Linked DNA regions of Nothobranchius furzeri. The main gene of each other region encodes a partner of the protein of the gene in region 2 in a complex. Links are inferred from orthologs where the notes say so. Each region holds a gene or a part of one and is shown on either strand. Other genes may lie near its edges.

What was found.
Region 1: gins2 (region 2) and mcm5 share a complex: the UniProt entries of both Homo sapiens proteins name them as parts of the CMG helicase complex. The link is inferred for Nothobranchius furzeri from reciprocal best matches to the Homo sapiens genes GINS2 and MCM5.

Annotation. Positions count from the first base shown.
Region 1 is NC_091752.1:68,034,932-68,047,020, forward strand, and holds mcm5 (DNA replication licensing factor MCM5), read left to right. Parts: upstream 1-7,987; 5' UTR 7,988-8,122; coding exon 8,123-8,295; intron 8,296-8,645; coding exon 8,646-8,772; intron 8,773-8,852; coding exon 8,853-8,981; intron 8,982-9,060; coding exon 9,061-9,233; intron 9,234-9,316; coding exon 9,317-9,472; intron 9,473-9,556; coding exon 9,557-9,726; intron 9,727-9,803; coding exon 9,804-9,975; intron 9,976-10,098; coding exon 10,099-10,210; intron 10,211-10,287; coding exon 10,288-10,431; intron 10,432-10,503; coding exon 10,504-10,569; intron 10,570-10,642; coding exon 10,643-10,819; intron 10,820-10,896; coding exon 10,897-11,009; intron 11,010-11,083; coding exon 11,084-11,212; intron 11,213-11,286; coding exon 11,287-11,429; intron 11,430-11,502; coding exon 11,503-11,630; intron 11,631-11,722; coding exon 11,723-11,824; 3' UTR 11,825-12,002; downstream 12,003-12,089. Other genes in the region: gcat (2-amino-3-ketobutyrate coenzyme A ligase, mitochondrial), read left to right, coding at 1-116, 187-288, 363-509, 700-854, 1,193-1,275, 1,364-1,535, 4,799-4,920, 5,012-5,163. UniProt on the Homo sapiens protein: Acts as a component of the MCM2-7 complex (MCM complex) which is the replicative helicase essential for 'once per cell cycle' DNA replication initiation and elongation in eukaryotic cells.
Region 2 is NC_091749.1:57,263,386-57,279,913, forward strand, and holds gins2 (DNA replication complex GINS protein PSF2), read right to left. Parts: upstream 9,400-16,528; 5' UTR 9,155-9,399; coding exon 9,065-9,154; intron 8,966-9,064; coding exon 8,851-8,965; intron 8,123-8,850; coding exon 8,023-8,122; intron 7,887-8,022; coding exon 7,760-7,886; intron 4,456-7,759; coding exon 4,327-4,455; 3' UTR 4,059-4,326; downstream 1-4,058. Other genes in the region: gse1b (genetic suppressor element 1), read left to right, coding at 43-414, 552-884, 1,289-1,392, 1,521-1,661; emc8 (ER membrane protein complex subunit 8), read right to left, coding at 12,074-12,233, 12,733-12,827, 13,044-13,113, 13,213-13,289, 14,055-14,267; cox4i1 (cytochrome c oxidase subunit 4 isoform 1, mitochondrial), read left to right, coding at 15,486-15,561. UniProt on the Homo sapiens protein: Required for correct functioning of the GINS complex, a complex that plays an essential role in the initiation of DNA replication, and progression of DNA replication forks.

The DNA.
Region 1 (12,089 bases), on a different chromosome or scaffold from region 2:
GTGCTAACAACTACCTGGGCTTGTCCAGCCATCCAGAGGTGGTGCAGGCAGGAATCGATGCACTGAAGTCCCACGGTGCAGGCCTGAGCTCGGTCAGGTTCATCTGTGGCACGCAGGTATGGCGCGTAATGCTCACTCGGACTAGAAGATAAATTCATCAGAACGGATCTTATTTGTGTTTTTAAGGATCTACACAAACATCTGGAGCAGAAGCTGTCAGAGTTTCATGAGCGGGAGGACTGCATCCTCTACGCCAGCTGTTTTGATGCCAACGCTGGGCTGTTTGAAGTATGTGATGATTCCTTCTTCTGTGTCCTGACGCCAAACTAAAATCACGATCTTTAAAAGGACTGTGACTACAGGTGCTGCTGGGCCCAGATGATGCGGTTCTGTCTGATGAGCTCAACCACGCCTCCATCATCGACGGCATCCGTCTGTGTCGAGCGAAGAGGCTGCGCTACAAACACATGGACCTCAGTGACCTGGAGGTCAAGCTCAAAGAGGCTCAGGTAAGGTTTGTCTTTCAGAGCTCCACTCTGTGCGTTTAAATCTGACGTTTGTTCGTTTTTGGTTGTTTGCGCCCTTAAGGTGGTGCTGTTAAATAAGTAAAAGTCAAAGCTCCGTTGGCGGCTTCTGTCTCGATGTCGTTGACGATCCAGGCTGCTGATGCTCCGTCTCTTTGTGTGTTTCCGTCCTCAGTCGTCTCGTATGCGTCTCGTCGTGACAGACGGAGTCTTCTCCATGGATGGAGACGTAGCTCCCCTTCCAGGGATCTGTGACCTGGCAGAACAGTACGGAGCCATGGTGTTTATAGACGAATGTCACGCCACGGGTTTCCTGGGAACCCGAGGCAGGTGTGTGAAGGTGCTGCTTTGAAAATGATTCGAGCTGTAACATGTGGGCTGTGCATAGCAAGCCATCAGGTGTGTTTATTTATTTATTGTTTTCCCTTTTTTCCCTTTTTTTCCCTTTTTTATTTTTTTCCCTTTTTTCTTATTTTTTTCCTTTGTTTCCCTTTTTTATTTTTTTCTTCTTTCTTTTCTTATTTTTTTCCTTCTTTTTTTCACTTTATTATTATTTTTTTTAATCAGGTGTGTTTTTAATTGTCGTGTTTCTAAATTGGCTTTTAAACGAAGCTTGGTGTTTAAAAACAGTCAAACGTCGTTTAACTCCGAACTCTACCACTGTGCAGAGGAACAGACGAGCTGCTCGGTGTGATGGACAGAGTTCATATCGTGAACTCCACTTTGGGGAAAGCTCTGGGAGGAGCAGCAGGTGTGTCCCATCTGCTCACCGTCCTTCATGCTAGCTTGGGATGTGAAATGGTGGAGTTAAAGTGTAATTAACACATATTTCCTGTCAGGCGGCTACACGGTGGGTCCGAAGCCTCTCATCGACCTGCTGAGGCAGCGCTCACGGCCCTACCTCTTCTCCAACGCCCTCCCCCCCTCCGTGGTGGGCTGTGCCACACGAGCTGTGGAGCTGCTGCTAGCCTCCAACGAGATTGCACAGAGCATGACTACCAAAACCATGAGGTATGCTTGCTTTAAAGGGACGTTTCATACGTTTTGAATCAGTCAAGCTTTATTTATAAAGCACTCTCCATACAACTTGGTGTGACACAGTGTTTTACAGTAAACTCAGTCCAATAAATACCGTCATCTCATGTTAGATGTTTGGGAGATAAAGTCAGGGAGGCCAGCCTGAGATGGTGTGGACGTGTCCAGACGAGAGGCAATGATTACGAAGGAGACGTTTGGACGTGTCCAGACGAGAGACGATGATTACCTAGGAGACGTTTGGACGTGTCCAGACGAGAGGCGATGATTACCTAGGAGACGTTTGGACGTGTCCAGACGAGAGACGATGATTACCTAGGAGACGTTTGGACGTGTCCAGACGAGAGACGATGATTACCTAGGAGACGTTTGGACGTGTCCAGACGAGAGGTGATGATTACGTAGGAGACGTTTGGACGTGTCCAGACGAGAGGCGATGATTACGTAGGAGACGTTTGGACGTGTCGAGACGAGAGGTGATGATTACGTAGGAGACGTTTGGACGTGTCCAGACGAGAGGCGATGATTACGTAGGAGACGTTTGTACGTGTCCAGATGAGAGACGATTACGTAGGAGAAGTTTGAATGTGTCAAGACGATGATTACATAGGAGACGTTTGGACATGTCGAGACGAGAGACGATGATTACGTAGGAGACGTTTGGACGTGTCCAGACGAGAGACGATGATTACCTAGGAGACGTTTGGACGTGTCCAGACGAGAGACGATGATTACCTAGGAGACGTTTGGACGTGTCCAGACGAGAGGCGATGATTACGTAGGAGACGTTTGTACGTGTCCAGACGAGAGGCGATGATTACGTAGGAGACGTTTGGACGTGTCCAGACGAGAGGCGATGATTACGTAGGAGAAGTTTGAATGTGTCAAGACGATGATTACGTAGGAGACGTTTGGACATGTCGAGACGAGAGACGATGATTACGTAGGAGACGTTTGGACGTGTCCAGACGAGAGACGATGATTACATAGGAGACGTTTGGACGTGTCCAGACGAGAGATGATTACGTAGGAGATGTTTGGACGTGTCGAGACGAGAGACGATGATTACATAGGAGACGTTTGGACGTGTCCAGACGAGAGACGATGATTACCTAGGAGACGTTTGGACGTGTCCAGACGAGAGACGATGATTACCTAGGAGACGTTTGGACGTGTCCAGACGAGAGGTGATGATTACGTAGGAGACGTTTGGACGTGTCGAGACGAGAGGTGATGATTACGTAGGAGACGTTTGGACGTGTCCAGACGAGAGGCGATGATTACGTAGGAGACGTTTGGACGTGTCCAGACGAGAGGCGATGATTACGTAGGAGACGTTTGTACGTGTCCAGACGAGAGACGATTACGTAGGAGAAGTTTGAATGTGTCAAGACGATGATTACGTAGGAGACGTTTGGACGTGTCGAGAAGAGAGACGATGATTACGTAGGAGACGTTTGGACGTGTCCAGACGAGAGACGATGATTACATAGGAGACGTTTGGACGTGTCCAGACGAGAGATGATTACGTAGGAGATGTTTGGACGTGTCGAGACGAGAGACGATGATTACATAGGAGACGTTTGGACGTGTCCAGACGAGAGATGATTACGTAGGAGACGTTTGGACGTGTCGAGACGAGAAACGATGATTACTTAGGAGACGTTTGGATGTTTCCAGACGAGAGATGATTACGTAGGAGACGTTTGGACGTGTCGAGACGAGAAACGATGATTACTTAGGAGACCTTTGGATGTTTCCAGACGAGAGATGATGATTATGTGGGAGACGCCAGGCTGAGAGGAAAACAAAAAGGATTTAAAGTTGGTCTGTGTGACCGTAGAAGATGCAGAAAACAGGACTAAATGGAGACAGATGATTGGCTGTGGCGACCCATAAGCCTGGACACAAATTAGACCCGAGTCATTAAAACTAACACTAATTTCTCATAATAAAATAATAAGATAAAGGCTACATCAGCTTTCTGATAAGGGTTAGGGCTCAAAGCAGTTAAGATAAAACGGGAAACAGTTCCTCAAAGGAGCAGCTAATAGGATTTTAACCTCAAATCAAACTTGAGTTTGCTCCAAAAACACGAACCATCGGTGTAACTGAGAATGATGTCTGCAGATACCAGTGGTAGCATGTATAGACTAAACTGTGCTGGGCCTAAAGGTAGACCCTGTGGAACTCCTTATTAAAGTGGCTTGTGTTTAGATGAGTAAATTATAATGGCATTACCTAATAAATCACTTCAGACAAAAATTTAATGGTGTTTTAACACATTTTTATTCATCTTGTTTTGAAGAGTGTTGCTCATCAGCTCTGAACACACAGACACTTCCTGGATCACAGCAGGGCTGAGATCTTCATCACTTTTGGTTAGGATGAGCGTCGCCCCACGTTTTAACCAATGAGATTATTGGGGGCGGGGCAAAGACTGGTTCAGCACTGACGTGAACCAAAGCTAAAAGGAATGTTGTTGATCTTTTAACCTAACGTTTTCTTCCATCTGCTCCAGACAGCAGAGTTGATTAAAGAAAACTTCCTTGTGAACACCGCCATGTTGGATTTTCCTGTCACCTGTTTAAAATATCAGCAAAGGCTAAATGAAAGCAACAAAAGCTAACTGATGCCTCAGCAAAGTGGATCGCTACATGCTACAGGCTAATTAGCACCATGAAGGATAATGTGTGGTACTTTAGTTACAGCTACTTTGTATGGGAGTCCGTTACTTGGGCATTTTTATTAATGCTGTATCTCACGAGGTATAAAACTTTATTTAGAACATTCTGATTTGACATCATTTTAGATTTCTGCAATAATAAAAATATGTTTACATAAAGGGAGGATATTTGTCTACTGCCCACTCCTCCAACCAATTTCTACTTCCTGAAACAGGAGCGCCAGAGCTCTTTTCCCACATATCGACTCTCAATCACATTCATTTGTGCTGGAGACCACTGTACATGTACTGACTAAACAAGTCGACTTGATCTTTAAGATAAGTTTGTAATCTGCGATTAATCACGAGTTGACTATAGAACTTTTGAGGATTTTTAACATTAAAACGTTTTAACTGACGGACAGAATCCGAAACGGAGGCTGTTAAGGAAACTTAGAAAGACTTCTTAGTCTAAAATGTCTTCTGAGGGAAAGATGTCACCAAAGCAGATTAGCTAAGAACAAACACGACGCTCCCACCTTCACATGTGATCGTGTGACTGCTGTCCAACCAGATTCCGGAACAAGATGGCGCATGCCGGCTTCACCATCGCTGGCTCAGCTCACCCCATCTGTCCCGTGATGCTCGGCGACGCCCGGCTGGCCTCCACGATGGCCGACGATATGCTGAAGCTCGGTGAGACTCCACTTCCCAACAAACTGCATCAGGATCAGGTTCACATTCCCATGACCGCCTCAGTCTGATGGTTCGTTTATCCTGTTCACAGGAATCTACGTGATTGGATTCTCCTACCCAGTGGTGCCAAAGGGCAAAGCCCGAATCCGCGTTCAGATTTCGGCCGCGCACACCGACGAAGACATCGACCGATGTGTGGACGCTTTCATTCAGACGGGAAGAAAACATGGAGTCATCTCCTAAAAGAAGTTTAATTCAACCGCAGCGCCTGTTACTCCACACGGATGATGTAGAAGGAAACATTCGTTACATTTGAGCATTTTTTAAATAAGTGCTGTTGATAAATGTTTGTATTTGGGGTTTAAAAGAGGGCTAATAATGAATAGCCTACACTACGTCTTAGCACGAGAAAGCTTTTCTCTTTTATCCACAAATGTGATTTTTAAAGATTGCTATATTAAAAAGTTTAGTGGTGCTGGAACTAATGTTGTATGATGAGAACTTGTGGAAAACATTAAAGGTGCATTATGGAAGTTTGACAGTCAAAACATGTATAGAAATAATAAATGTCTTCTTCATACATTCTCCTGCAATGCCCTGGTCCTGTAGAATGAGCCCTGGCATTTTTACTGTGATTGCCTGTTTTTCTGTAAAATCACAGAAAAAGAGAGATGCTCGGGTCGAGCAGGCTGCTTCATTCACGCTCAGGCATCGCCCGTAGCGTTTGCTATCAGTAGCTTTAGCAGCAGAGAGAGAGACAGTGCCACTTTGTCGCTGTTCCTAACGCCTAGTGACAAAGCTAGCTACATTTCTGAGGACCCTTAGCTACTTTCTGTAGAACTTTCTTCTAGATATTTCCTGCAAATTAGCAACAAAATAGCCATTTTCGCTCCGAACCGTTCTTTGAACGTTGTTTCAGCTGTCATCAAGGATATAAATGTTACAGATACTGTGAATGTTACTAGAGTGTAGCTCACCTTGTGAGACGACGGACTCGCATGCAGAACACCTGTGTTCGATTCTAGGTGTGAACATAGTTTATTTAGAGTTTATTTTTTACATTAATGGTATATTTTTTTACAGTAAGATGCCCAAATTTTTATTGGAGACTCGCCGAACGGCATTGAATTCACAGATAAAAAAGATGTGGGTTCAACTTTCATTTTGGAACAATTTTTCAAGTAAGGGAAGGGAATGATCTGAGCATGCAGGAGGACTGACCCATCATAAACCTTTGTCGGCTGTGCTGAAGAGAAAGGTACAGAACCAAATTATTTAATGAATTAGCTGCACGTTCTCTTGTCCTCTGTCCTCCAGGCCACCCACACACACACACACACACACACACACACAAGGGACTGTCTCAGCTGTTGTTTTCGTTAAGGAGTGTGCACGTACAGCATGCGCTCCTCGTGCACGAGCCTACTATTGAAGCTGCTGTTACGCTTTTGGCCTGAGGGGGCAATCGCGAGCATAAAACTTCAAAAGTCCGTAAAGTATTAAATTAAGAAGAAAACTCGAGGCTGTGTTTGTCTTACTGAGATTTATAATTAAGAAGAAACAAAGGTCTGTGATGGACTGGGGACATGTCCAGGGTCCTTTCCTCTCACCCAATGCCTGCAGCTGGAGATGGGCACCAGCTCCATGTCGTCCTAGTGAGGATTAAGTGGATGGATGATTGTGCACAAGTGACTTAGAGCTTGTCCCAAGTGCACAAACCAAAATACAACATGGCAGCACCTGCACACAGGAGTCACTTGATGGGAATAATGTGTCTAGTTTCAATGCAAGTTCATGAAAATACCAAACAGGATCATACCTGCGGTGGTGGAGGGTTGATGGTTTGGGCTTCTTGCACTCATTGAGTCTACTCATCTTTTTTTAATGGTTGAAAAGTGAGTTTATGTCTCTGATGTTTAACCCTCTCAGGCTCAAAATAAGTTTTGATAAAAGGACGAACAACTAAGTCCTTCAGGGGTACTTCTGAGTTCAAAAGTGCTCATGAAATACTTATGTGGAGTAACCAGGTAGGTAGGCTTTAACTGTTGCAGACGCCTGCCTCCAGAGGGTTAAGGGAGTTGTTCTAGTAGGAACAAATGTCTTGTAAGTTGTTCTCGGGGGTGAAAAATATACCGATGCACTATTTATCTGACCTAAAAGTTGCCCACGTTACAGCTGAGCTATTTGGACATCTCGCCCCAGATTGGATGACAGCAACGCGACTCTACCATTGACTTGCAACAATGTTTTATCCACTAATAACACAAGTCTTGAGGAGCTTCTGCTGTGTGGTGCTGCTGCTAATGCTAATGGTTAGCTACATTCTCTGCGGTTTCCTGGACGTTAAACAACAGCCTCCCCCGTCGTGAGTCAAGATGGGTGAGTCCATGAATGTTAGTGACAGGGTGACGTAGATCTGTCAGGATTTTCTAATCCCAGAGTTTCACCGTCTGTTTTCTATCAGAAGCTAAAGCAGCCGGAGATTGGTGTAGGAGATTATTCTCGTGTTCAGCCTGCGAGAAACACGAGTGGCTGATTGATCATAAGTAGAAATAAAAATAAAAGAAGGCTTTTTCAGTGTTGCACTCTTTTAACGCGTTGGAGTAAAGTTGATCATGAAAAGGGACCAAATCCCAAACACAGCTGATCTACAACAGAATGGTGTCCAGAGTCCAGACCCACAAACCAGAATGATGGGAAGTCTCAAACTCTTCCAAAGCCGTGTGAGCCTGAAGCACCCAGACTGGAGTTTTGCATGAAAAAGGTTGAAATATGTTTCTAATAAATGTTAAAGTCTGATCTTTGAAGACAAAACAGCTGAAACGTTTGCGAAAACGAGCTAGATGTTCTCATGGCTCCTCTGCATGTTGAGCTGGGCAGCACGACGCTCCCGCCCCTCCCCCTTTGTGTTTTTCGCGCCACAACAGCGCTAAGCTCCACCTTCCCCCGTAACGTCACGCCTTTTGGAACCCTCTGTGACCAATAGAAAGAAGCCGGATTTAATTCAGCCAATCAGAGAACAGAAGAGGCGTGTAGCGAAACAAGCGGCTCGCGGGAAACAGACAGGAAGCAGATCGTTTTTTCCCGCGAAAGGACTTCGCTCTGGCGCATTGTTCCTGTTAGTGCCGCTCTCTGGGATCGCTCTGTCTGAGAATAAAGTCGTGTCCCAGCTCCGAGTTTTAGTTTAGTGAGCTGCAGCAGGATGTCTGGCTTCGACATTCCCGGAGTTTATTACAGCGACAGCTTCGGAGGAGGAGACGCGCCCGGCGGGGACGACGGCGGGCAGAAGCGGGCTCAGATCAAGAAGCGGTTCCGAGAGTTCCTCCGGCAGTTCCGGGTGGGAACGGACCGCACCGGCTTCACCTACAAATACAGGTGAGCAACACAGACGGCCACAGCCACCAAAGAACTGGTTTTAATAAGGAGGTAAATGTTCGAAGTGAAACGACACAAAATGTTAAAATAAAAGAAGTCTTTATCCGGAAGGTACCTACCAAAATAAGAGCTGGGTGAGGAGATCTAAGGTTTCAGGGTGAAATGAGGCTTTTTTGTGAGTGTGTTCCGCCATCTTTAAGGGAGAGCTACCGCGACCCCCCCTCCCCGTGCCACGCCACACACACACACACACACACACACACACACACACACAAGAATGGGCTCTCTTCACCCTGCTTTTATTTTGGTAGTCTGTCCGGATTGTAACATCTGTCCGTCCTTCCCATCAGAGATGAGCTGAAGAGACACTACACCCTGGGAGAGTTCTGGGTGGAGGTGGAGATGGAGGACCTGGCCAGCTTTGATGAAGACTTGTCTGACTGCCTTTACAAGGTTCCTGCGGAGAACCTGCCCTTGGTGAGTCTTCTGCTGGAGCCAGACCCAACTGTCAGGCGAACCTTTCCAGCGACATCCTCTAACAGATTTTCATTTAACAGCTGGAGGAAGCTGCCAAGGAGGTGGCGGATGAAGTGACCCGTCCTCGACCTGTAGGAGAGGAGGAGGTGCAGGACATCCAGGTCATGCTCAAGAGCGACGCCCACCATGCTTACATTCGCACCCTGAAGGTACCTGCTGACCCGTGTTGTTTAAGAGCCTTGTAGTCGTCGCGCAGGACTGGATTACACTACTTTTCTTCTCGTACAGTCGGAGCAGGTGTCTCGTCTGGTGAAGGTGCACGGGATCATCATCTCAGCCACGGCGGTGAAAGCAAAGGCCACCAAGGTGTGCCTCCAGTGTCGCGGCTGCAGGAACACCATCAAAAACATCGCGCTGCCGCCGGGCCTGCAGGGTTATGCTCTGCCCCGCAAGTGCACCAGGTGGGCGTAACCCAGAGGAGCCGCGCTTTCCCCCGGGCTTTCGGCCATCAGCGAGGAAGCTAACGCACCCCTTTTGTTCTCAGTGACGCTCCTGGGAGAGCAAAGTGCCCCGTGGACCCGTACTTCATCATTCCGGACCGCTGCGTTTGCGTGGACTTCCAGACGCTCCGTCTGCAGGAGTCTCCGGATGCCGTGCCACACGGAGAAATCCCCCGGCACCTGCAGCTGTACTGTGACCGGTAAGGAGGGGCGGCGTGGCGTGGCGTGGGTGTTTGAGCCGGGGCGGTGTGTTCTGCTCACTCAGGTGTCTTCTCTTCTCTCAGGTATATGTGTGACCGCGTGGTGCCTGGCAACAGGGTTACCATCCTGGGGATCTACTCCATCAAAAAGATGGCTGCTGCCAAAGCAAAGGGCAAGGAGAAGGGCATCGGCGTCGGGATCCGCGCGTCCTACTTACGAGTGGTCGGCATCCAGGTGGACACAGAAGGAGCAGGTACCGCTTTACGTCTGCTTCACGAGGCTGGCCTCTAGTCCACCCGGAGAAACGTTCCCCTTCTTCATCCCGTCCAGGTCGTGGTGCCACCGGGTCCGTGTCTCCTCAGGAGGAGGAGGAGCTGAGAGCTCTTGCTGCTTCTCCGAGCATCTACAACTCTCTGGCTCAGTCTTTAGCTCCCTCCATCTACGGCAGCGACGATCTGAAGAAGGCCATCACCTGTCTGCTGTTCGGAGGCTCGAGGAAGAGGTGAAACCGCCACCTCGCCCCATTCCCCCCCCCCCCCCCTTAGGGAATTTTGTGGATATTTAATCTGCAGAAATGTTTCTTATCTGACTTTAATAGGTAACCTTTTTGATTTTCTTCCTCCAGGCTGCCCGACGGTCTCACTCGCAGAGGCGACATCAACCTTCTGATGCTCGGAGATCCCGGTACGGCCAAGTCTCAGCTGCTGAAGTTTGTGGAGAGGTGCTCGCCTATCGGGGTAAGAGAAGCTTTCCCGGAGCTGCTGCTCTGACGCCAGCATGAGGAGAAGCTCAGCGGTGTGTCTGTGACCTTCAGGTCTACACCTCCGGGAAGGGCAGCAGCGCAGCCGGCCTGACCGCCTCGGTGCTTCGAGACCCTAGCACTCGTGGGTTCATCATGGAGGGAGGGGCCATGGTGCTGGCCGACGGAGGAGTCGTGTGCATCGATGAGTTCGATAAGGTAGGACCGACGCCCGAGCGTCAGCGTTAGACCCGGTTCGGAGTCTAAATCTGAGCGGTTTCTGTTTCTCAGATGAGGGAGGATGACCGCGTGGCTATCCACGAAGCCATGGAGCAGCAGACCATCTCCATCGCTAAGGTACGTACAGCTGATGCGCCATCTTGGATGTGAGACGGTTGCCGTGGTATCCTGACGTCCTCGCTTCCTCCAGGCGGGCATCACCACCACCCTGAACTCCCGCTGCTCCGTGCTGGCCGCCGCCAACTCCGTGTTTGGTCGCTGGGACGACACGAAGGGGGAGGACAACATTGACTTCATGCCCACCATCTTGTCTCGTTTCGACATGATCTTCATCATCAAGGACCAGCACGACCAGCAGAGGGACATGGTGAGGAGGCTGGAGCCTCGAACGCGTCGGCGCCCCCTTCCTCCGGAGTGTAACCTCACCGTCTGCTTGTTCCCCAGACGCTGGCTCGCCACGTGATGAACGTCCACCTGAGTGCTCAGACGCAGACCGAAGGTGTGGAGGGCGAGGTTCCTCTGGCTACGTTTAAGAAATACATCGCCTACGCCAGAGCGTGAGTCGGCCTCGGGCGTTTGGTCTGTCGTCCACAGTCGCGAGTCCGTTCTCAGACTGAGTGTGTGCTTGCAGGAAGTGTGGCCCTCGGCTTTCCGCGGCTGCCGCTGAGAAGCTGAAGAACAGATACGTGGTGATGAGGAGCGGCGCGCGGGAGCACGAACGCGAGAGCCACAAGCGGCCCTCCATCCCCATCACCGTCAGGTACCGGCGGCGCCTGCGTCCGAGCGAGTCGTCGCACCCGGGAGAGGGTTGTCACGAGTGTCTTGTGTCTTCAGGCAGCTGGAGGCGGTCGTTCGTATCGCCGAGTCGTTGGCTAAGATGAAGCTGCAGGCCGTGGCTGGAGAAGAGGAGGTGGACGAGGCCCTCAGGCTCTTCCAGGTCTCCACGCTGGACGCCGCTCTGTCGGGCAGCCTCTCAGGTGTGTGACGGCCACGTTTCAGAGCGGGGCTCGCCTGTCCCGTTTCCTGACGCTAACGCCCCTCTGTTCTCAGGAGTGGAGGGCTTCACCTCTCAGGAGGACCAGGAAATGCTCTCCCGCGTCGAGAAGCAGCTGAAGAGGCGCTTCGCCATCGGCTCCCAGGTGTCGGAGCACAGCATCATCCAGGACTTCACCAAGCAGGTGGGTCCGAGGGGGCCGTGTGCGTTTATTAACCACCACACTTTAAATGGTCGGTTTGAAGCGGCGTGTCTTTTGTTCTGCCCCTTCTCTAGAAATATCCCGAGCATGTCGTCTACAAAGTCCTCCACCTGATGCTGAGGAGGGGCGAGCTGCAGCACCGCATGCAGAGGAAGGTCCTCTTCCGGGTCAAGTAGAGCCGATCGGCGCCGCTGATGTAAATAGTTTGTGTTGGTTTCGAGTCTCTGCCACTCTGGACGCGGTCTGTGGCGAAGCCGCGGACCGGAGGTGTCACCGTGGGTGGTTTAGTGAGGCTGTGGCTTAACTGGTCTGTAAAGATGAAATGATGAAAATAAAACTTGCGTTCTGGTCGAACTGGTTGCTTTATTACACAAACAGAGAGGTGAGCGATTCCAGCGTGGGGCTGGCGTACTGGGCGCACATTCCTACTCCCATGGAAAC
Region 2 (16,528 bases):
GTGCGACTTCATCATTAGTAACATACGCTGTGATAAATGCAGATTCAGCGTTCAGCCAGCACTCTGAATCTGAGGACCACTATAACGTCAGACTACAGAGCCCCCCCTCTCATTGCCCAGCATCCCCCAACGGCCATTCAAAATCCCTCGGAGACACGTTAAGGCCAAAGGCACCCCCCTCTCCAGCTGTCTACCCAGCTAAGGCCCGGGGGCCCAGCGAGGGTCCCCCCTCAAAGCGGAGCTCCAGCTTGCTCAACAGCTTGCGGCCCCCGCTCCCCCTGCAGGCTAAAGAGGGGCTGCACAGCATCAATGGACGCTCAAAACCCTGGGACAGTTTCACCCCGGAGGAATTTGCCCAGCAGTTTCACGAGTCTGTGCTTCAGTCCACTCAGAAGGCTCTGCAGAAACATAAAGGTAAGCAGGATGGCCGCGTAGGGAACTCCTCCTCCCCGTTACTAAACTTTTATAATTCCAGTAACGCCATGAAACGTATTGTTAAAACTTATTGTTTCTTAAAATATTGACCACAAATCTCCATCTTTGACACGTAGGGACAGCGGTAGGTGTGTCAGAGTCCTCCCACCTCCAGGAGTCCTCCGTCCACTACAACATCCCCGAGCTTCAGAGCGCACCCAGCCGGCCGCCGCATTCACAGCCTCACACGAACGCGCCTTCATTTCCTCACCCGCCATCACACTCCCACCCTCAGCCCAACGGGCAGCACTTTTCACTGCATCTGCACAAGGAGGCTGCAGTGATCAGGGAGGACGTCTCCGGTCCAGACAACTCTGAGGAGGAAGAAGAGGAGGAGGAAGAGGAGCCTCCTGTTTCCAAGTGGCAGGGAATTGAATCGATATTTGAAGCCTATCAAGATTATATTGAAGGTATTAAAAAAAACTTCCTCTGGCATTTATGTTTGGAATAACATCTTTACAAGCATCTTATTTTATAGTATTTAATGACTATATGTATTTTGATTCTTTAAAAGAAACAATTTGTAGTTTTGATTTTGATTTTGGGGTTTAATTAAATTCTTTTGTGGATTTTCATAAAATAGAAAGATAAATAGTGCAAGAAAACTTTAGAGCTAAGCCAGTTAATAATCAAAAATAACATCCCCGAAAAAGAAAAGGCAAAGCTCTTGCTAGTGCAAGAGTTGTTGTGGCGTGCCTTCATTGCTAGGGGGCAGTATTTCTACCCTACTTCATTCAAACAACCAAACACTGACATATGAGCATGTTTGCCCCAAATCTGTTACTCAAACACACTTTTTACTGTTTTAACGCAGAGCAAAGTTTGGAGAGACAAGTGTTGCAGAGTCAGTGTCGAAGACTAGAAACTCAGAACTACAACCTCAGTCTGACTGCTGAGCAGCTGTCTCATAGCATGGGGGTAAGGAAAACACACGCCGCCTTACGCCAAGAGGCCCCAACACTGTAACGGGCTTCGACTTTGCTAAATCAGATTAAATTTCTTGTAAAATAAAATTTCTAATATTTAACCTTTTCTTTGTCCCACAGGAGCTGATGTCCCAAAGACAGAAGCTAGCAGTGGAAAGAGAGAAGCTACAAGCAGAACTGGAGCACTTCAGGAAGTGTTTGACACTGCCACAGACACACTGGCCAAGGGGCGGTCATTACAAAGGCTACCCTCCAAGGTGACCCCGCCACGGCGTTTTGATGACCCCCTGAACTCCCAAACACCTCCCTTCCAGACTTGAACCCAGAGTTTATTTTTCACAGCCTGGTCCTCGTGGCACCATACAGGAGAACGTGGCAGGCTAGCTAAGATTAGTGAGAAAATGAATAAATGGAGTGAATGAGTAGACAGGTGAATGCTCAGGGGAGGGAGAGGCATTCGGTGAAGGACAGTTAGGATTTGGATTGTGGCTTGCCAGGGACTGAACCGAAAACCACTGACGCGTGCCAATGTAGCCAACCTGCGAGCGGCGAGGCGGAACCTGAACATCCACGCAGACGCACCTGCTGCTTCCACTATCCAGCTCCTGCTGCTCTGTCGGTCGGTCCATCCCCGCACCCCTCGGCGCCACAGACAATCCTGCCAATGAAGGAGCAGCTTCCCCAGGAGGGGGTTTGTCACAAGACTTGAGAGCTCAACGCAAAGGCTTCCAGTCAGTTGGGACAGATTTTTTTTTTTCCAGAGGCCACGTGAGCTTTTTGAACTGGAAATGCACTTAAGAATCAAAGCTGAAGAACTACCTGTTGGTACCGCGTTACAACAAAGAACTATTCACACTAGGGAAGAACTTAAGAAATGTACTTTTTTTTTTTTGGAAAAGAATTAAGGAAATGTTTTATTTCAATAGAAATTTTTGAAAATAAGAATTTTAAAAGGTGCTTCAGCCTTGTATTGTAAATAATATGAAGACAAATGAATTTTGTATGTTTTTATTACTTTAATCATTGTTCTTTTAAGAAAAAAAAGCCTGCCATTTTTATATGTTTTTGCTTTTGAGGGGATTGCGAAAAGAGAAAAAAAAAGCCTTGCTTTTAGTGTTTGTACTGCTGCTGGCCAGAAAAAAACTCATTTTGAGATGTTGGAACAGATTGAGTGAAAGCAGGAAGTGCTCCTGCTGTCGTTCTGCGCCGAGACCTGGCCACAGCCACCTCATCCATCCCTCTGAGCTCAGCGAAGCTCACTCAGAGGGCCGCGAGACCCGGTGTCTTTCCGCTCACACCCCTCCCGTTTTCTTTCACAGCAACACGTCTTTATGTTAGAGACCCCTGCAACGCTTCACCGCTGCTAGCATGACACGTTAGCTTGTAATGTCCTTGTGCATAAAACCAGACCCACGTCCAGTTCAGATTGCTTTACCATTTGACCTTTACATTCTACATAGCCTTGAAGTCACAACATGCTTGCCTGAGATGCACCTTCCATTAAAGGACGTTGTGCCAAAAACAGCATTTTTTTTATCGCTGACCTTGACTTGAGTTGTAATTTGGCAGCCAAATATCCCCCACACCTAAAAAACAACATCTTACGCCCCTAAGCTGCAACATGTTTCCTAAAAATCACACTTAGAACCAGGAGTTGAATTTTACTTGTTCACATAGTCCGAGTTGTAACGGTTTGCTTGACCTTACACGTGTTCACAATCTGTGTCCTATAATTGGAGAAGTAGTATTATTTTTATGTTTCTGGTCTAAAGATGTTTGATCTCAGACCCCCTATGTTACAGATTTAACATCACTGGGATGTTTATGTTGAGGGGTGAAGCCTTTCAATAAGCCCAACTACAAAAAAACGGTGTATACATTTTAAAATGTACTTAAAAGAAGTTAATTTATAGTAAAAGAAAGAAAACACTGAAGCACAACTATGCCACACTATATAAAAAGTGCCTCAATAATTTGGGAGCATGCGAATGAGTTTGTCCACGTCGAACATTCTCCACCCAACATTAGCGATCAGGGACTCCACATCAAAGTGTCTTTCAAATATGTGCAAGTCAAGAACTGACACTAAACTGATCTGAATGCATCTCTAAAAACGTTTTTTTTTAAACAAAAGTTTCATTAATAATGTAAGCCTAAACCAGAGGACCACAGAGTGTAGCCTGTTACATTTACACAGCAGTGGAGAGAGAGGGCCAACGGTGCAGCCGGCCGGTAAACGAGGATGCATGCACGCTGAGGGAAGCTGCCAATGAGCTGTGGGAGGAAGGTGCAGTAAGACGATCCTCTTCCTCAGTCTCCAACCCACGCACGCCCATGCAATAGTCCTGTTACTCAGTGGAAGATGTCTAGATGCTGTGAAATCCTGTTTTTTAAAAAAATGTACTTGTTTAAATTCATTGTAATGTAATATATTCTTTGTTGAATGTAGTAATTAGGTATTTATGAATATATGGCTGTGATTTCAGACAAAAAAGAAAATAAAATACTTCAAAAATGTTAAACATTAACATTTGTGTATGCTTCATTGAACTGTCATAAAAAGCCCTTCCCAGAATGTTTTCTGCAGCAGAAATTCTCTCGACAAATCCTGATGCATTAGAAATACATTCATAAAGAAAAATAGAGAAATTATGGCAATTAAGAATGAGTATATTTATTTAGTTACATATTAAAAGCACAAACGATCAGCAATGGACTTAAATTACATTTGCATTTATCACAAACTGCAAGCAATAAAATAAAGATCTTCATCAAAAGAGGTAAAATCCCTCATTACTGGTTAAACTGGGTTCTAGGATGTTCCATCCAGTGGTGCAGGGCCTGGTTGGTAAGAACGCACTACTGTTTAATGGCATGAGCTCCGTCTGAAGACTCAAAGCGGCTACGAAGGCGTGGATGTTTTGGATTAGTAGTCCGTGAGCTGGCCCTTGCTGGACCCAGGCTGCAGGTTGGAGCGCAGCTTGAACATGAAGTTCAGAGAATCGAGAAGGAACTCCCGTGTGGTGTTGATCTCCATCAGGGTGAGGTTGTCCAGCTGCAGAGGGAAGGATGCAGAATGAGGCATGAGGAAGAAGAGGTGCTGTTCTGACAGATGACATCTACAAGTTATATATATACGTGTGTGTGTGTGTGTGTAGCTTTTGGTAAATTGAGTGCTTTAAGAGCTCAATATATATATTACCTCTACTTATGACCAATAAGCTGTGATACTATTTAAATATAAAATATCAACCCTGTTTGGTCTTTATTGTATTTATCAGAAGATTCTATGATTTTTGCTTTATTAAGTAATTGTACACACTTTGTTTTGAATCAGAAAAGAGTCAGGTTTATAAAAGTAAAAATTTATTTTATAAACAATTAAAACATGACTAGTTAACTAAGCATTTGCTGTGAGTGGACGGAACTAAATGTGATAGCTTCTACCACTGCTATGCAGACGACACCCAGCTCTATCTGTCATTTCCACCGGACGACCACACTGTCTCTGCAGGAGTATGAAACTGTCTCTCTGACATATCAAAATGGATGAAATCCACCATCTCCAACTCAACCTCTCTAAAGCTGAACTACTTGTCATCCCAGCAAAACCATCCACACAGCACAATATCTCAATCCAAAATGACTTCCTATCTCTGGCTCCTTCAAAGGCAGTTCGAAATCTGGGTGTTGTGATTGATGAACACCTGACCTTTAAAGATCATGTTGCCTCTGTTGCTCGTTCATGCCGCTTTGCGCTGTATATTAGTACAGTATCCCGGTTGCCTTCGTCATGGACTCCAGAACGCTTGCTTTGGCTTCCTTGTAGAGGAGGGGGACTTCTTTTTCTGTGAAGTGTTTTCGGTGAGGAAGTTTATAGCACGGCTCCATGGTGCGCACCACTAACCGAAACCCCCTGTTGTTCACTACTGAATACTGGCGTAGATCCGTCGCGATAAAAGTAGCTATTGCTTTTGTAATGCTCCTCGCCTTCTCCGAGTTCTTCGGTAGTTTGGAGACAGTCTTCAGGATGGAGAAAGAGGTCAAAGAGGTAGTGCCACTCACTAAACAGTCCGGGCGGTGAACGTTAAGGCTCCAGTTACGTGTTTTTATTTTTTTAGTACCGGCTTTGCAACAAAATGTTGATGTTATGTTTTTTTAAGCATCAACGTTCATTAATCGATGCCGAAACAACAGTAAAGCTTTTAGATGCATCGCCACATCGATTAATTGCACCCACCCCTAACATACGAAAGATCAGACCATACCTAACACAACATGCCACCCAGCTCCTGGTGCAATCTACTGTCATCTCCCGCCTCGATTACTGCAATGCCCTTCTAACTGGTCTTCCAGCCTGTACTGTCAGACCTCTTCAAATGGTCCAGAACGCAGCGGCGCGTCTGGTCTTCAATCAGCCAAAAAGAGCACACGTCACCCCTCTGTTCATTGAGCTCCACTGGCTATCGCTAGCAGCACGCATCAAATTCAAATTGCTAACACTAGCATACAAAGTCTGAGATGGTATGGCTCCCATCTACCTGAATCCTCTTGCTAAGGCTTACGTCTCGGCCCAGCCGCTCCGGTCATCACAGGATTGTCGGCTAGCAGTGTCTAAACCACGCTCAGGACAATCCAGACTCTTCTCATGCATCGTTCCACAAATGTGGAATGACCTTCCAAGCACTACCAGAACAGGGGCTTCCTTTTCAATTTTCAAGAAACTCCTGAAGACCCTGCTCTTCAGAGAGCATCTTCTAAACTAGCACCTTGCCTGCACCCGTCCCCCCTCTCTACTGTCCACTCCTTTGTTCCCTCCTCTCCATGACTGATGTCAAGTTGTTGTTGTTATTGTTGTTGTTAGCCTCAAGAGCAACATGCCGATTATCACTTGTAAGTCGCTTTGGACAAACGTGTCTGCTAAATACGTAAACATAAACTATGTATCAATGTGGTGTTAGAACCTCCTTATCTAGAAGAGCTGAGTCTGGATGTAAAAGAATTTGGTTTGCGCTACGCTATGAAGTTGCTATCATCAGAAGCACATCAGACGCAATCTTCACTGTGTTCTACCTCACCCTTTTGGAGACCCTTGTCGTGGATCCGGAGGTCAGAGAGGTCAGATGACCTTGGGGCACCCAGGTCCAGTGGATTGACAAGTACCGACTTCCCCAGTACCGAGATGTCACCAGACACACAGGCTGGACTAGCTTGCGTCTCAGGAGCAACTCTTAGGGAGTTGAACAATATCAGCTTTGTTCTGCAGGGACTGTTGTTCATCAGCTTCACAGGTGCACAAAGGTTTTGACGATGTGTCAAAATCTTTGACAGGGTGCACAGCCAATCAAAGGCTGACAGGCTTGAGAGATGTTACCAAGACAACTCAGAAACACGCCTTCTTTGACCGGACGTTCTGACTGGGTAAAAGACTATTTATGTGTCAGAGTTTAACGTAACCGTACTCGTTATTGTGTGAGTGCAGATGTTATGACCTCGCCATATAAACAAGCGGAACCACATTGCAATCATTGTAGACACAATATTCATTTCGCAATTCAATCATTGAGCACAGATTAATGGAACATTTCATTATAATATATTTATTATAAGTAGCAATAAACAAATGTTTATTTAATGATTATCTAGATTATTAGTTGTGGAATAGTTCATATTGACTTAGGAAATCATTCTTGGTTTAGCCACTGATCCGAGCTGGAGTGTTTTTGTGGAGGCCTTGGGGAAAGAAAGTTTATGTTTATTCATTTGGCAGATGCTTTTATCCAAAGCAACTTAAATTTATAACCTATAGGGCATGTTGTGATCTGTGGGGGAAAACCAGAGTACCCGGAGGAAACCCACGCATGCATGGGGAGAACACGCAACTCCACGCAGAAAGACCGCAGCCGAGTTTCATTTTGAGCATTTTTAATTCAGAGAGCCATTTGGGATTAATAAGACCTCATAAACATAGATAATAACTATACTGTCTTTTACGACAGGAAAATAGGAATAATCCTAAACATTGTTTTGAGCTGATCAGTTTCTATGATGACCGGTAATCCTGCAAAGAAGAAAAACATCAAGCTCCCCAGATGTTTAATTTACTAAATTATTCCACCGAATCACATGATTACAGCATCAAAAAAGTGCAACAATAAAATAATTGTGTTTTAATTCACGGTTTCTCTTGTAAAAAAACAAAACAGACGTGCTCAAGTGATTTTGTTGTTGTTGTGGGACATTTAATAAAATGTTATTTGAAATAATTCAACAAGAAAAATCTAAAAAAGAAGTTTCCAGATGTGATCTGAATTAAACCGGTGTATAACTACAATATAATCCTTAAAAGTCTGCATTACCTGGGCGTGAGCCTCCTGCTGATTGATGAAGCTGTCGGCGGACAGGCGTAGCTTGGCAATCCGAGTGTCCCAGATGTCTTTGACCAGTGTTCGGATTTCATCTGCTTTAGGAATGTTGTCAGAAGCACTACAGCAACACACACACACACACACACACACACACACACACACACACACACACACACACACACACACACACACACAAAACCATCAGCAGAGAGCACAACAGGATGGAAAGCTTAACGTTTGCATTAGTGACTTACTGGTTCAGTAGGAGTTTGGTGATCTCCATGTAGTACAGACTGGGAACGGGAGTGAAGGCATCTTCCTTTCTCTCCAGCGCTCGCATCTCTTCCAGTTTCTCTGTTGGAGCAAATCATTTAAAATCAGTATCATGTTTTTAGCTAATTATTTGCTAGGAACTGTTGATGAGATTATAAACCAATCTTGTGTTTAAATTCAAACTTTTAAGAGAAGTTAGAATTTACTAAATTCAAAAATAGAGAAGATAGTTCCATGTGTGAGTGAAGAGCACTCTTCTTTTAAAGGGGCAATGGACTGCTTTTATATCTGATTTTTTTAAATAGAAATATATAATAATTGCAACAATTATTATTGTTCTTATTTGCATCCGGGATTAAACCAGGGATAAAAAACTAACTCAACAGAGGACAGAAATCAGTGTTGTGTCCAGAAATCTAATTTTAAAAGTAGGAAAGTAGATATTGAGATACGAAATGTTCAAAAACAGTTGTAAAAGTTGATTGATTGATTGATTTTTATTTGCATAGATAAAGTAATTTCAGAATAAACTAATACAAGTAAGTATCACAATATGGCTTGAAAACATTAAATATACAGGGTAGCACAAAAAGTGTGACCCTAAAAACAGACAACCACAGTTTTAAAACATAACAATAAAAAGTATCCAAAACTGTTGAGAAATTGTGCCGTACACGCCAGAGCCCTTTAGGGGTTCTCAAACTGAGCCTTGTGACACTTTTACTGAAGTTAGTTTTCTGGAAACCTCTTTTTAATAAGAGGGATCGCGATGTTTAACCAGGGTGCCAAACTAAACAAAGAATCATTACCAACATCCATCCAGTCAGGAGGCAGAATCCTACATTTCTGTCGCTGCTTCAGGTTCAGAGCCAGCCACAGAGGAACATCCACGGACAGGCCGGGGTTAAAGGGTCCCAAGTCTCCCTGCGGACAGAAGTAAGGCTGTTCACGCGCCTCAGTAGTGACTTTAAATGTGTATTAACTCGAGATTAGCTTAATCTGCGCAATTTCTCTCAGACTTACCCCGATTAAAAAGATCTTGTCCAGGCTGAAATTGGGAATTATTTTGACTAACTCTTTCTCGGCTAAGAATTCAACTTCGGAAGGATCCATGACTTTGTTTTTGTTCGCTGAAGCCGACAATTCCCGCGCTGAAAATGTACGAAGCAAAATGCCAGGATTGGTCAGCTACGTCATCAAAAGAAAGTACCGTAGAGTAAAACCTGAAGTGCTACGAGTAATTTTATTTGTAGCGATTGTATTCGTTCTTTCAATTCATTGCATCAAAATAATGAGAACAGTGTGCTTCTGGCGTCAAAATCGTGAAGCTCCTGGCTCAACCTGACTATGACGGCAGCGATGGAACCTTGAATTTTAGTCCGGGCACTTCCGGAATGACAACTTCCGTATGAACTGCAGCTATAGCAGACTACCACCACTAGGCGGCAACTGTGAGCTACAACGGTTAAACCATACTTATTCTTCCATTTCTTTATTCAACCTTTATAGATCATGTAAGGCAAATATGTAATTCATCTTAAATGACATTCAAACAGGGAATTAAAAATATTAATAATAATAGAATTATTGGAAGTTTTCATTATTCATATATAAACCCGTAACCATTATCTTTAATACAATTTAGGGATTTTAGACACTTGTAATTAAAAAAAAATTAAAGTTGGGGTAATTTAAATATTCTTTGCTTATGTTTGAACATTTTGGCAAACAGAGGACCAAGTTATAACTATCTTGTTCCAATAGTAACAGTTGTCTCCTTAAATAGAAATATTTTTATTTGAAATTATATCCAGCCAGGATTAATGATTGACCTGCAGTAAATGACCCGTTGTCTCAAGTATTATCATCAATGTTTAAGCATTTTCTCAGCAATTCCTTAGAAGGATAAACGGCATTCAAACATTTTGTCAATTAGACTTTTGGTTGACTAGGAAGTTAGAGCTCAAATATACTTAGTTTATTGATACATTTAAAGTATGTTGTTCTTGTTCATTTTACAGGGGGATAGGTGTTCAGGAAGACAGTGTCTAGTAAATTGGTTTGTGCTTTTTCTATCAATGAGGGATATTCCCTGGATAGAAACTGGGCTTTACTGCCGGTTTATTGGTGTTCAATAATGTTTTTGGTTTTGAAAAGTAATTATTTTGGTAATTCTCTCAGCAATGTTGTGAAATCTGATTTAGGATGACTGAATTTACGTTTTAAACAGAAGTTATTATATATAAGCAGTTCACTGTTCCTCCTCGTACGTATATTAGTTGAATGAAAACTGATTTATTGAAGAGCATCTTTGGGATTTTGGCGTCCTCAAGTGGCGAGAAGCGTGAACTACACTTGTTCTGTTAAACCATCAAAGTTTTAGCTTCATTTCAGTGATGTTGAAAATAAATCCGTCTTTGTTTCTGTCCTTTGAGAATATTAATATGATGGCGGAATAGAAAACGGAACAAAAATAATTAAAGTTACAAAATAGTGGAAACACTTCCTGCAAATTATTTCAAAATAAAACGCTACAGCATTTTGGTGTTGGCAACAGAGGAACTCACTCGAACAGTCTTGTTCTCTTATCTAAAAACACTGTTAAAACTGCATTTTTGTAACGATGTTGAACAGAATGTTGTGTGGCGCAAAGCACAAGTCCCTACGGCGACTTTTTTCAGCTTTGTTGAGATGAGGCTGAAATGTTCTCTTCCAGTGTAGTTCTAGCTTGTCGCCACTGGAGGGCAACATTTCCCCTCCTCTTTGACACCAACCAGTTTGCAGCGCTGTAGCTAGAGTGTGTGTAGCACGACAGTGTGTAGTTCAGATAGATGAACTATTTATTTAGCTTAAGAAATTGGAAATGTGGCATGAGAGCTGTAAAAACAGTCAAATACGGGTTTCTCACGCTTGTTGCTTAAGAGTTGGCAGTGAGACAGATTTAAGAGTACAACCAATACAAGACTTCTCTCTAGATGTTTGCACTATCAAGTCTTTATTTTAATGTCACATTCTTGAAGAAAAAAACTTTATCACAAACTGACATAAAATGTCGCATTAGTCCTCGTTCTACCAGTTATCTGTACCACATGACCTTCACACACAAGCTGCTGATACATAAACAAATGAACACAACTCTTAAAAAAGCACATTAATCCAAAACTACCATCAGTGAGCTACAGCTCTGGAGTCACTGTAATTATTTCCCAACCCTCTTAAAATGCCAAACCCATCAAATTAAAGACAGATGTTTTACACACAATGAAGGAATTTGATCAGAACTTCATTTCCCATTCAATCAACGAAACTTGTGTTCAAAACTTCCACCAGGTGAAAAGGGATTTCGAGGTTCTGTCTCATAGACCGTAACCGTCGACATATAAACATAACCGTAACGTAATTATTCAAATGTAAATGCAAAACTAAATTATCAGACTTCATTGACCAGAGAAGACTTAAGAATAAACCATCCAGAACAATGGGCAGCATGGCAATGACAATAAGTAATCACATATTTGAAAAGCATTGGCATTAATATTTTAAAGTCACATTTTTAATTCAAGCGTCTCTTTTTAATGCAACTAAAACCTCAAGTCACCCAACACCAGCAGAAGAACTTCAGTTCTTGTGTGTGATCTCAGCGTTGTTATGATAGCTACATTTCTGCAGCTTCAGACCAATGTGTTAATTTTATTTAACCAAATTTTAATCATGTAAAACTCTTCATGTCTAGTTGATTTAAATTTGAGTTATATAGATCTATTACTCTAGAATCTAACGGAAAAACAAATTTATCATTTAGGCTTAGCACCTTCATCGCCTATAAATCGCCCGGTAAAGATGAACACAGGCCACTGGTGCACATGTGGCGCCTGAACGTGGGAGAATTTTGGCCCGCGTGATCGCTCGTCTGCATGTTTCTTCAGCGAAGACACTTTGAAGACTATGTGCTACCTGGTATGTAGCATCATGCAGACTAAAATGGCAGCGACATTTGAGGGTGCGCCATGTTGCTCTGAAGACTTCCAAGTCTCAACAAAGATCCAGGACAGATTTGTTAATGACGGGGTTGGTCCAGTCATTTCTTAAGTCATCCAAGTGATTGTCAAAGTCAATCAAGTTCTCGTAAGACCTGCCCACCAGCAGAGCAGAGGTGATCTTCTGTGCTTCGCTCCAGTCCTCAAAAGAACCCCTAGGAGATAAAAACACAAATAGATCCATTAGTTCATCATCTCTTTATTTAGTTTGCTTTAAACTTTGTAAGTTAATGGTCAAACATTTAGTTTATATGCAGAAGACATCAGCTTTCCACTGGGTACGTAAGCCTGCAAGCTCCTCTCCCACCATGAGCGTTTCAGATGCAGAACGGCAGAGAAAGTGTTCCATGCAGCTTGCATGGCGCGACTCCTGCAGTGCGCTCAATAACAAGCGGGGTTCTTTATTTTGTGTTCACCTCGGCTACGGAGGTTTCACAGGTATTGATGCACTTTTTTTTTTTTAATTAAGTAAAGCTTCACATGACTTTTATTTTGAAAGTTTCTGAATGTTTTAGTATGGCCCGATTCAAACTGCAGAGCTTGACGTGTTCTGGAAATGTAGCAGGTGAAAAATTTAATCGAAGTGTACATTTCGCAGAATGACACGTCCAAAACGCTTGCACGTCCAGTGGGAATGCGCAATCAGACGCGTACATTGTTACTTCTCTGTTTCTCCACTTGTTTTCATGATGATCATAAATGACCACAATGGGCTCTGAACAGCTCACTGTTAATCTGCTGTTGTCCACCTGCAGAATCAAAACAAATAAAATCACACATCCGTATCAGGAAACAGGAAAGGTATGGATATTTTTGCATTATTTGCAGAAATATGTCTAATACACAAATGGTTCTTTTGTTCCAGGACAGTCAACATTTGTACGACTTTTCAAGCAGCGGATCTCTAGATTCTGATTGATTAATGTGTTGTACAATAATTACAAGTCTTATTTAAATAACTTTACCATAACAATGGCAGCTTCGCTGAAGTTCTCGGTGATCCTAGCAGCCACTTTTTCTGCAACTTGGTTTGGTCTAAAGAGATTAGCACAAATGAAACAGTGAAGGGACTAATGTGAGGTATTTGTGGGAATGGTTTGTTAAAGAACAAAAGACAGAAGAAACTGTTTGTACTTTGAATCCTTTTTCCGTTCATTGGCTTGATAATATCCAGCAATGATATAATTGTTTTCTTTACACCAAGTGTCGATCTGAGAATAAAAACAAACAGGTCAACATGTAAAACAAGAGGGCAACGGCAGTCACAATAAGTAGACTTCTGCGAAAGGGAAATATTTTCCACTGAAATTTAAATCTATTGAAGTGTATCTAAGAATTACCATCGCCGCATATTTTCAGTGCCTGAAAAGACGGCTCACAAAATGTTTTGTTGTACTTAAAAAAACAAACTATGTTTGACCTTAATATTAATTTTAGTGGCATAGTTTCATTTTTGTTTATGACAAAACATAACATCAGTCTAGTACATAAAGTCTTTAATAGTTCCCCTTTCTTGCAGGGCTAAAAAAAACCTACAGATGTGTGAGAACCACATTTAACATTCATTACACATGAAATCAATCAGCAAAGTGAGCTTTAAAGTTTTTAAATGAATAGTTTCTGGGTAGAAAAGTACTGATCGTCATAACTTCTGCATTTGATCTGGAAACATTTTTAGTAGTTCTGCCTTTCTCAAAACAACCAGAAATAACTGTAAATGTGTCTTTTTGTTTTAAAGCTTACACGACTTCTCAGTTAGTTTACAATTTTCCGTTGATCCAAACAATAACATTAGCCATGTTGGAAAATGCATGGTGAGTAGGGCGGATCAATTTACAAACACCTGTCAGAGAAAGTCAGAGCCTTTCAACAAACTAATGAAAGAGACTGATTCAACTAAGTTCAAACAATGCACGTTTAAACAAATTATCAACTAAAGAAAACAAAAAGGTAACGTTTACTTCACAAATACTAACCAGCGTCAAAGCTACTTCTAGCATTGGTGCCAGAGCGAGAGTACCGTGAAACAGAGGAACACAGTCCACACACAAAACTGGAACTCCGTGGCCGTCTTTCTTCTTCTCCTTCGATTTTTCTGCTATTAGCAATCCATTCACGGCACAGTGCGGATATTTGGCAGTATGTAAAAGCATTTTGCAATACGCCTGACTTGTCAGTTGAATAGGCATGTTGTTTAGGATGAGGCAGGTCCTGACAAAGTAGGAGAGTTGCTAGTTACACGATAAAATAGAGCTTCTGCCACCGTTAGCTAGCCTTACTTCTCATGCCCGAAGAAAAGTATACATTTACCACTACAGTCTCAGAATATGTGGTCTGAGGAACAACATTTCACACGCCGAATTTACCGATACTGTTATAGGAATTACAACTGCCGTCTTTTTGTTAAACTAATAACTCGTGTCCGGATAAAAGAGCTAATCGTTCATCCACCTTCCACTCTTTAGTACCACCGGAATTAACGTAAAACTCGATTGGTTCCGCGCACTTTACGTACTTCTAGTTTACGTACGTGACGTGTATCCGTTCAGAGAGATCCACTTCCAACGCGGAGGAAGGGAGACGCTGCAGGTCGTATGCGTTTTTAGCAACTATATCGTTTGAACATTACAAACACTGTTACACAAGTCACTTTTAAATTAAATTGTAATACTATTAATGCTGTGACTCGAACTACACTGCAAAATAACAGGAATAGACAGTTTCACACGGTCACTGTGTCAGAGCGGATCGGAGCTAGGAAGAGCTAACTTCTCGGCTAGCTACCGTTAGCAATAAAAATAAAATATGTAATATGTGTTTATACTGATTTCACAAAGCCTTGGGTATTTCGCCATGAATTAATTTTATTAATCTGTGTGAAACTAAAACAATAGTGAAAGTTTGCGTTTAAGAAGCAGAAGTGTTTCATAGACATTTCACCGGGCGCTGTGACCTTGTGTTTGTAGCTAATGCTAACATTAGCGTAGTCTCATAGGTAAACGTGAATCTTTGGATTGTTTGCACATCTCCAACAACATGACTACATGACTTTAGCAAAAGGTGTTTTATATGCGTCACTGTTAACATAATGTTTGGCGCCTACCTCACCTTTTAAGAATTACTGAATAAAATATGGTCACAGAACACAAATTTTATGTGTTGCACACCATCAGTGTGTGTGTGAATGGATGAATGATACACTGTAGTGTAAAGCGCTTTGGAGTCCTTACTCTGAGAGGCGCTATACAAGTGCGGGCCATTTATTGTGTTTACTAATGCGAAACGTGTTTTACTATTTACAGCTTCTACGTTTATTTCTATACTTTGGTATCAACATGGTTTTTATAGACTGTATGGTAAGTGTTTGATTTATTTCATATATTAAAGTTTTTAATTTTATCTACAGGATGCTGACAACAAGAGCCCTTACCCTTATTGGCAAACGTGCCATTTCTACATCTGTCTGCTTACGTGGAGGACATGGTATGTCAAATAGGCATAAACAGCTGCAGGTTTTTCTACAGTCTAAATGTTAACAAGTAATGTTCAAATTAAGTCTACTTCAGTATATGCTGAGTGTAGAAGCTTTTCTAAAATAAATAGGAAAATGATGCACACCATTATGCATGGTATAGATTTGTTCTCCCCAGCTCCAACACACTTGATTCAGAGAAATAAATGGTCTAAACGTAGTTTAATAAAGTAGCAGAAGCTTTGCAGTAGACTATCAATTTCAACCAGGTGGGAAAAGCAAGAAATGGTAAACACGGAAACTGTTGTAGGAAGTAGTTTTTATTTTTTTTAATAATTGACACACCTCATATCACATCCACAGGTTGGAATAATTGTCACATTATAGCTGAATGGTTCTTTGTTTTACAAGTTGAGCCAGTGAGGGTTACAGGAGGACAGGTTACAGTGTTTTCCCTGCCACATTTTGTCACGATAATTAAAGCTTTTTTTCCTTAGTATTTCTCTTATCCAATGGCACCATCTAGTGGCTGACAAGCGTATCACACAAAACCGCTGTTCCTCTGTTTTTTTAAGATGGCTACTTCACATTTCTGTTTATAAATGTGCTTCTGTAGCCGACAAACCGAGCTAAAACATGCTGTTTTAAGAGTATTCTCATGTCATGTTGTACTTTCATATATTTATATTTTAGAGATTTACTTGTCTGTGAAAAGTTCATCAACTCTGCATCAGCCGAGGTATTCCTTAAATGTGAAGCGTCTAAGTGGTAGTCTAACGCTATTGGTTAGTTCTGGTCAGTTTCCTATTGCACGGAGCTCTGCCGGGCAGGGGGCGTGCTTAGCAAAAAATAAATAAAATAGATGTATTGCTTATATTATATCACAGTACTAGGGCTGGGGGTAAACGATTATTTTTAAAACGATTATTCTGACGATTATTTTATCGAATAGTCGACTATTCTAATGGCTATTTAGAA